2 linked regions of the Drosophila melanogaster genome follow. The protein of the gene in region 2 purifies or fractionates together with the protein of the main gene of each other region. This does not show direct contact. Each region holds a gene or a part of one and is shown on either strand. Other genes may lie near its edges.

What was found.
Region 1: the proteins of CG5412 (region 2) and sud1 purify together in Drosophila melanogaster (affinity purification with mass spectrometry, with the first as the bait; one large-scale study listed by BioGRID). This does not show direct contact.

What each region holds. Positions count from the first base shown.
Region 1 is NT_033777.3:24,915,075-24,919,424, forward strand, and holds sud1 (sudestada1), read right to left. Parts: upstream 2,791-4,350; 5' UTR 2,690-2,790; coding exon 2,635-2,689; intron 2,436-2,634; coding exon 880-2,435; 3' UTR 766-879; downstream 1-765. Other genes in the region: PIG-S (phosphatidylinositol glycan anchor biosynthesis class S), read right to left, coding at 119-316, 373-512, 571-661, 2,635-2,689; CG11168 (uncharacterized protein), read left to right, coding at 3,578-3,681, 3,743-4,350. UniProt on the Drosophila melanogaster protein: Prolyl 3-hydroxylase that catalyzes 3-hydroxylation of 'Pro-62' of small ribosomal subunit uS12 (RpS23), thereby regulating protein translation termination efficiency.
Region 2 is NT_033777.3:20,575,121-20,578,631, forward strand, and holds CG5412 (uncharacterized protein), read left to right. Parts: upstream 1-1,932; 5' UTR 1,933-2,018; coding exon 2,019-2,466; intron 2,467-2,525; coding exon 2,526-2,917; 3' UTR 2,918-3,011; downstream 3,012-3,511. Other genes in the region: TFAM (mitochondrial transcription factor A), read right to left, coding at 375-501, 1,026-1,753.

The sequences.
Region 1 (4,350 bases), 4.3 Mb from region 2:
TTGAACCCCGGTCTCCCGCGTGACAGGCGGGGATACTAACCACTATACTATCGAGGACCTTAAAAACTTCGGACATAAAAAGCCAACAAGTGTTTCCGTATCATTGCAATAGACTCACGTGTATCACTTCGCATCAGTGCCGATCTTTCGGTGGTTAGTAGCAGCTCCTCCTGCAGTTTGGGCCACTCGATGAACATGAAGTCGCCAACGCTCTGGACATGGTTCTCCAGCAACAGCTTCTCCAGAGCAGCTGGCGTGTGTGCTTCCTGGGTCATTGGCGTAGGAGATAGCTGCTTGAATTCCACAGACCATATTTCTAATGGGAAATGCATGCCGTTTAGAAATATGAATGGATAATGAATTTGCACCTACCATTGTCGCTGAAGGCGTTCTGCAGTTCGGCGATGAGCAACTGGCCACGACTGGTCTGTTGTGTGTAGATGGCCACCTGCACAGCCGTTTTGATCGGAATTTTACTCAGACTCAAAATTTCCGTCGAGGGCAAATTGACTCTGCGATTGCAACATTTAGGTATAATTGGAAAAACGCCGCCAGACATGGTTGACTCACCTGTAGACTGTGGTGGTGCGCCACCACATGGGCACGCCAATTCCAATGATGACCACGATAAATGCTAGTGTAGCCCCGATCCGGAACTTATCTGTAAAGTTAAAGAGAAGTGTTTGATTAGTTCCTGATTTATCGCGGTCGTAAGCGTTCTTTGGGTTCACACTTTATTACTTCGACAAAAAACTATAATATTTTGATTTGTGTTTTATAAAGTTTATTATGTAAATTAGTTTCTGTACAGGAGAACGGTATGAATGTTAATAGTCCTTGACGAGTAATTGTGCGCATGTTGTGAAACAGGATCACATGCTACTCCTTGTAGCTGCACGAAATAACAAAAACAGGTCCCTTTTCAAGGGGCGTGTTGCGCGACACGTATTTGGTGAACTTGGTGGTGCCCTCGCACCGGTATACTATGTTCAGGGCGTTGTCCACCGGCGTGATAGTAAGCAGAACGGAATCGTCCTCTTCCTCGTCATCGTAGTCCGATCGCCTTCCGTCCGTCGGTGCTTTTGCTGTTGGCATTTCGGCGTCGGGTGCGAGGTATGTGATCACCGCTGCTCCTTCTGCCGCGTTCAGGTAGTAAACCAGGTCCAAAGTGTTCTCCTCGCTGGTCAAACCGTCGCCCAGCACTGTGTAGTTGCCGTGGGACCAGCGCTGCAGTTCCACGCTGCATGTTGGACTTTCGGCATCGGTGCCTGCCAAATCCAGATCGGTGAAATCTCGCAGCAAATCAAACATGGCGTGGCTACGGAACAGTTGCAGTAGTTCCAGTATGGTGCCTCTGGCTGTTGTCAAATCCAGCACTTCATAGTTGTGTGCGTTTGCGGGTCCCTGTCTTCGCCACTTCAAGGTATCCGAATCGGCCAACAGCTGCGACCGGGCCAATTCGAATTTCTCTCGCTTGAAGAACTCGTATAAACAAATCTCGGAGTTTTCTTCGATCCGCTTTTGGATGCTCCGGCGGGTGGCCCCCTTTAGATACACGTTGTTTAGAAACAGGCCAAGCGGTGGCCTATTAAGGCCATCAGGTTGCAGGTAATTCAGGCGGGGAAAGGCGCGCAGGGAGTCGGCCACGAAGGCCTCATTGGTATCGCCGTGGAACCATCCGTTTATGGTAAGACGCGGGTAGTCGAATGTAGTAACCTCGCCTACTTGGTGGAAGGAGCGCGAGCCCACCTTGAAGAAGGCAAACTGGTTGTCTTTGGGGGCGATCTTTCGCTGCACTGGAAACTGTGGAAAGCACTGATCGTCGCTACCGAAGATCTCTAGGCATCCGCCCTGCTCATCCGTCCATTCCTCCGCTCCTTCCCAAGGCGATAGATAGTAAATGAAGGCCACTTGTCGGTCCTTAAGCAGATCGTCGTGCACGAGCAGATAGTCGCCGCAGGTGTACATGCTGCAGGAGGCGGACACATAGTCCAGCTTGAGGTTGGTAACCTTCTCCAGCCAGGGACGCACTTGTTTGCGCAGCACCTGCAGGAAGTTGGTCAACAGTCGGCAAGCGGGCATGTTGGAGAGGTCGGCGCTCTGGTAGAACTCATACAAATCCATCTGTTTGCGCGACCACTGCACCTTCTGGATGATCTCGGCGACCAGCGCCTGGCTTTGGCCCTTCTCCAGCATGCCGGGCAGAAGGCAGATTTGAAAGGGATCCGAGAAGACCTGAGCACCGGTTTGCGTCTCCTTGGTCCCTTGGCTCTTCTCCTCCGTCCAGGCTGTTTGGAGCCACTTGGTAAGTTCCGGTTGCTGATACGCCTCGTTCAGGAGCACTTCGTTCGTTTCAAGGATGTCGCCCAGGCGCAAAAGCTTCCTGTGCGGCTCGCCCACCTGATCTGCGGAATCCTCCTGCTCTGCACGACCATCTGCAAGGGCAACATAGTGAATGGGTTTGCATTAAGCGAGGCAAACAGGGGCATACCTTAAACTTTAATTTGGCTATTTTTTACGCACACCAGCACTCACACACGCGTTATCAAAGGCAAAGGCAAAATCAAAGGCACCGATGTGCCGGCACACCTCGCTTTATCGTTTTGGGGCAGATTTCTCACTGTTTCCACTTACCTTCGTCCTTGTCTTTTCTCCTGGGCTTTACTGGACTGGAGCTCGAGGTTTCCATGATGCTGTGAGTCAAATTTTCGGTTAAAAACGTGAATTTTTGCCAGGGAAAATAAAAAAATTGGCTTGTGCAGCTAGAGATGGTAGCTCGGAAATATCGGTTGTTCTGTGCAAGTGTTGGGTAGTTAGCTTATTCCACGCAGTATCAAATACCTAGCTAAAGTTTAGTAGCTAAAAACTTTTGGCATTATATTGTAAACAATAAAGGGCGTATATAAGTAATAATATATAATATAATAATATATTGAAGGCATTCAGCATTAGCATTCAACTCACTAATCACACTTTCATTTTATACTGATCATCACTGATTGTACGTGAGTGTCGTGTGTTTCGTCGTCGCCTCACGCCTCCATCCCTAGCCAATTAGTAACGAACAATTGCTCGATCGGCTCCACGTAAATAAAGTTTAGATCACAGCTTTGTTGATTGCTTATCGCGGTGGCAAATATAGTTATTCGTTTATGGCTGTAAACTTTCGAAACGGACGTGGACATAGCCGGTAAATTAAAACTTGAAGATAAAACCTAGCTGGTGACAAAGAAATTCCAATTGGAGCAGTCCAATGCCGTGGAATGACCTTGGAAGAGGCGGAGCCACCATTCAGCCCTCCATATTATAAACAAAAATACTATTGTGGAATGTTCACAGCTATTTTGTATAAAAAAAATATTTGGCTATCAGTCTGTGCGTGCTAGGGCCAAACAGCTGATTCCGCCTGGCTGCCACCTGATTTGTTGGGGGTGTGAGTGGGGCTGGGGCTGTGGTATTCTGTATGCTCGCGATGATCTCATTGTGTTGGAATCGGAGCAAAAGCTAAACTAAACAACTTGACATGTGTTCTTCTGCTCCTGTGTAGCTACCTAGTGTTGGAGGATACGGAGGAGCAATGGGCAAGGATCAGCATTTGCTGGAGGCTTCGCGAGCCGGCGACATCAAGACGGTGGACAAACTGCTGGAGCACTCGAGCAAACGACATGGCCCGCTGTCCAGGTGAGTCACCAGCAGCAACTGTTGTTATTCCAGGTAGTTTACTACAGGTTTTCCTTTACAGTTTTAGGCGAAGTCCCAGCATCAACTGCCAGGACATGAATGGCTACACTTCGCTGCATCACGCCTGTCTAAATGGGCATAGCAACATTGTACGGCTACTACTCTCCCACAACGCGCTGTTGGATGTGCCTGATATACGTGGCTCGACACCTTTATTTCTGGCTGCCTGGGCTGGGCACCAGGACATCGTCAAGATGCTGTTGATGCACTCGCCTACGGGAGCCAATCCGAATGCCCAGACTATCGAAAACGAGACGCCGCTGCACTCAGGCGCCCAACATGGCCACAATGCCGTGGTGGCCATTTTGCTGTCCTATGGCGCCGATCCTGCCATACGCAACAATAGCTTTCAAACGGCTCTGGATTTGGCAGCGCAATTCGGACGCCTTCAGGTGGTTCAGACCTTGCTCCGTGTTTATCCCGACCTCATATTGCCGTATAAGCGTTTGGAAGATGACAATGAAGAGCTGCTGGGCTGCATGCCCATAAAGCACATATTCACGCACACCTGCCTGCACCTGGCCAGCAGGAATGGGCACAAGAAGGTGGTGGAAACACTGCTGGCGGCCGGCGTCGATGTCAACATACTCACCAACGCTGGAAGCGCTC
Region 2 (3,511 bases):
AACGTGTTGGCCGAAGCGATCTTACAAGGGCTAGATCTATTCAACTTATAACTTGGCCACGATGGTTACATGCACTCGCTCTCTAGTCAGTTTAAAAATGTATTTTCATATATGTACAATATTTAGTCGGTTGCTGTATTTTTATTTCATGCTGAAACTACAGACTTAAGTTGTCCAGAAAAACTACTAGAAGTACCCTTCGTAAAACTAACAGCAGGAACACGGGGTTTAAGTTAAACTTATGCTGGCTGGCTAGCATTTAATCTTTAATGCCCTAACCTTAACAATTGGCGATCGAAAAAGAAAAACGAAAAACAGAATGATGCATGATTTGTGAATTATGTGATGGAAGAGGGCGGGCCGAGCAGCTACAACTATATATCTTTGGAGGCCAGCGTCTTGCGGGGCTTTGGCTCAGGTGGATCGATAAGATTTCCGTGACGCACCACGTCGATGTGGCCCAGGCGGATCATCTTCTCCTCCCAAACGGAAATCGCTTTCCTAAAACGCACAAAAAAGGTTGTGTTTTTTAGAAACTGTGTTCACTGGTTCAAGACATTATTTGTATTGAGTAAATAACGCGCCCACGAGAAAAAAAAGAAACGTAAAGCCACGTGGTCCTAATATTTAGCACTAAGAAACGAGTTCCATGCCAAAATATTGATTAATATAGAAGCGTTAATAATAAGCATTAACACAAGCACATAAAGATTTCTACTGTAGGCAAGTTGGACTTTAAAAAGTTTATAAAAGATCTTAGAGAAGTTAATGGTTCAAACTTGAAGTAGAGGGCGATTTATCATGAATTTGGCAGAATATAATAAATTGTATCTAAAGTTTTTACAAAAATCTGCACCTAGTTGTTGTTGCTAAATTTAAAAATTTTTAAATCAAAGTTTAAATAATAATCAATATAATTTTACTGTAACCTAGTCAGTGGAATGCAATGAAACTATGATTCAAACTAGAAAATCTGCTAACGATTAGTAAAATTCGCCAACTTGAATGCTGAGATGAACACGCACCTGTAGAGCTCCATCTCCTTGCGCGACTCCTGCATGTAGACCTCCTTCTCGGAGTCGGAAAGGCGAGTCCACTTGGCGGTGGTCTTTTGGTGCCACTCGCGGTAGGTTTGCTTGTCGCCCTGCGGAGTGTTGATACGTTCGCTGGCGATGAATCGCAGGAAGGCCGAAGCGGGCTTTTTGGGTCGCCCCAGCTCCTTGACCCGCTTGCGCAGCTGGCGGCGCTCCTTGGCGTCAACGAGGTCCTGCTTGAGCTGCTTGATCTCGGCCCGCTGCTCCTCCGTGAGTGTGGCATCGTACTTTGTTCGCTCCTCCACGTAGATTTGTTGGTCCCGCTTGAACTCGGCCTGCAGGCGCTCCTTCAGCTGCGCATCGGCATCGGACCAGTTCTTAGACAGCTGGCGCACCACCTCGACGGTGGTAATCTGGGGATTGGCAGCCTTCAGCTTGGGCCGCTGCTCCCGCATGAAGCGAAAGTAGGGAGTCAGCGGTTTCTTTGGTCGCGGCGGCAGGCCCAACTGCTCCTCCAGGGTCTTCGACGGCACCGCCGGAGTGTTGCTGATGCTGGCGGCTGCTAGGGGCCTAGGGGGTGTGAGGGGTCGGTGGTCGGTGTCATTGGCACGAGATGGATCACTGGGTGGCCAATCTTTGGCTACAACTTGCCTGACTTTGTTGATCAGCGAGCCGATGAGGCCGCCGCGCGAGGACATCAGTGTTGTGGTGTAGATCATGATCTCAATGGCGAACCTGCTTCCTTGCGTTGTAAGCTATTTAAAAATCACGGGGAACTTGTTGCATTTACGGAAAAAAGGATTTACGTAAAAAATGCGGCATTCTAGGCCGAGCGTTGCCACCTGGTGAGTTACTTCAGCCAAGTGCTGCCACCAAGTCCCAAGCTTTTGTTATCGAAAGCTGACCATCTCCATTAACCGTAGCCATAACCTTGTTTATTTTGTATTGTTTTTCTTAGTTAAAATTATAAAATCATAAAATAAGATGACCAACAACGATGCGGCCGTGGAGGCAGCCGGCTCCAGTCGGGCCAGCAGCAGCAAACAGCAGCTGAAGCTGGAAATCACCGAGAAGGTGCGAGTCCTGTGCCTGCACGGTTACCGCCAGAATGGAGAAGCCTTCAAAAACAAGCTGGGCTCCTTCCGCAAGTTCGCCAACAAGTACGCAGAGTTCGTGTTCATCACGGCGCCGCACGTGGCCAAGGCACTGGAGTCGGCGGCGGAGCCTGTGCCGGAGCAGAGGAGTTGGTGGGCCAACAAGGACGATGGCTCCTTCAAGGGAACAAACAAAGGTGGTCCCGCCTTCGGCTTTCAGGAGAGCCTGCGCTGCGTTGAGGAGGCGTGGCGGACGCAGGGCCCTTTCCAGGGACTGCTAGGCTTCTCACAGGGCGCCTGTTTCGTGGGTCTTATATGCGGCCTGGCCAAAAAGAAGTGTATGCCATGATTTTGTCTGAAAATACAGTCCTTGTTATAACTATACCATCACCCGTAGTGACCTCCATCCGTCCGGAGTTTGCTGTGCTAGCCTCGGGCTTCTTGTCTGGCAGTCTGGTGCACATGAGCGCCTACGAAGAGGCCATCAGCATACCCACGTTGCACATCTACGGACAGACGGATGAGATCATTCCCAAGGAGATGAGCGAGTCCCTGGCTGCGCGCTTCAAGAACGCCGAGGTGCTGGAGCACAGCGGCGGACACTACTTCCCGGCCACGGCGCAGCAGAAGCAGACATTCATCAACTTCTTCCAGGATCGGCTGCAGGAGTACCTGGAGCACGAGGAGTTGCAGCAGAGCGGCAATGCCTCATTCGTGGATAGCGGAGCGGAGGACGACAACGATGCCGAGGTGGCGGCCATGACGGCCGAGCTGGACGAGAGTGATTAGCCGAGGGACGGGGGTTTTTTCGTTCGTTTTTAATAATAATTAAATCTTATTATTACAAAAATAATGATTTGATTATAAATTATAATATAATTAGATCCCAATATTAGTTAAATATTCACTCTGCTCACGAAGGATCAAGCGGATCGGGTATTGAAATGTCTGCACGTTCGCTCAGTTCGCACATATTGTTTTTATGACTTTGTGTATTTTCTCAACAAATTCGTATAAATTTCATTAAAAAGAAACAATCAAGGGGTTAGGGTAAAATTAAAGCCGAATATTATCAATCCCATTCCAAAGTTCAATTTTGTGTCGGAACCATAGTAAATTAATTGTTCCTTGCTATTAACAACGAAAAATGCATATTTAGCTATTGCAGTTGAGACGGCAGCTTTTGCTTCTTCACCACGCTGGGAAGTTGAGAATCGCAGACAAATAGATCTTCCTCCTCCTTCGTCCGGTCCGACCATCAACTTCGATTTCAATTTCATACATTTCGTTTGCGTGGGACAAGCGAGCGACAGAGTTAGCGGATTTATTTTGTCTCGATTTGCTGCTGCTGTTGATTTTGATGATGTGTTTGCTGCTGTTTGT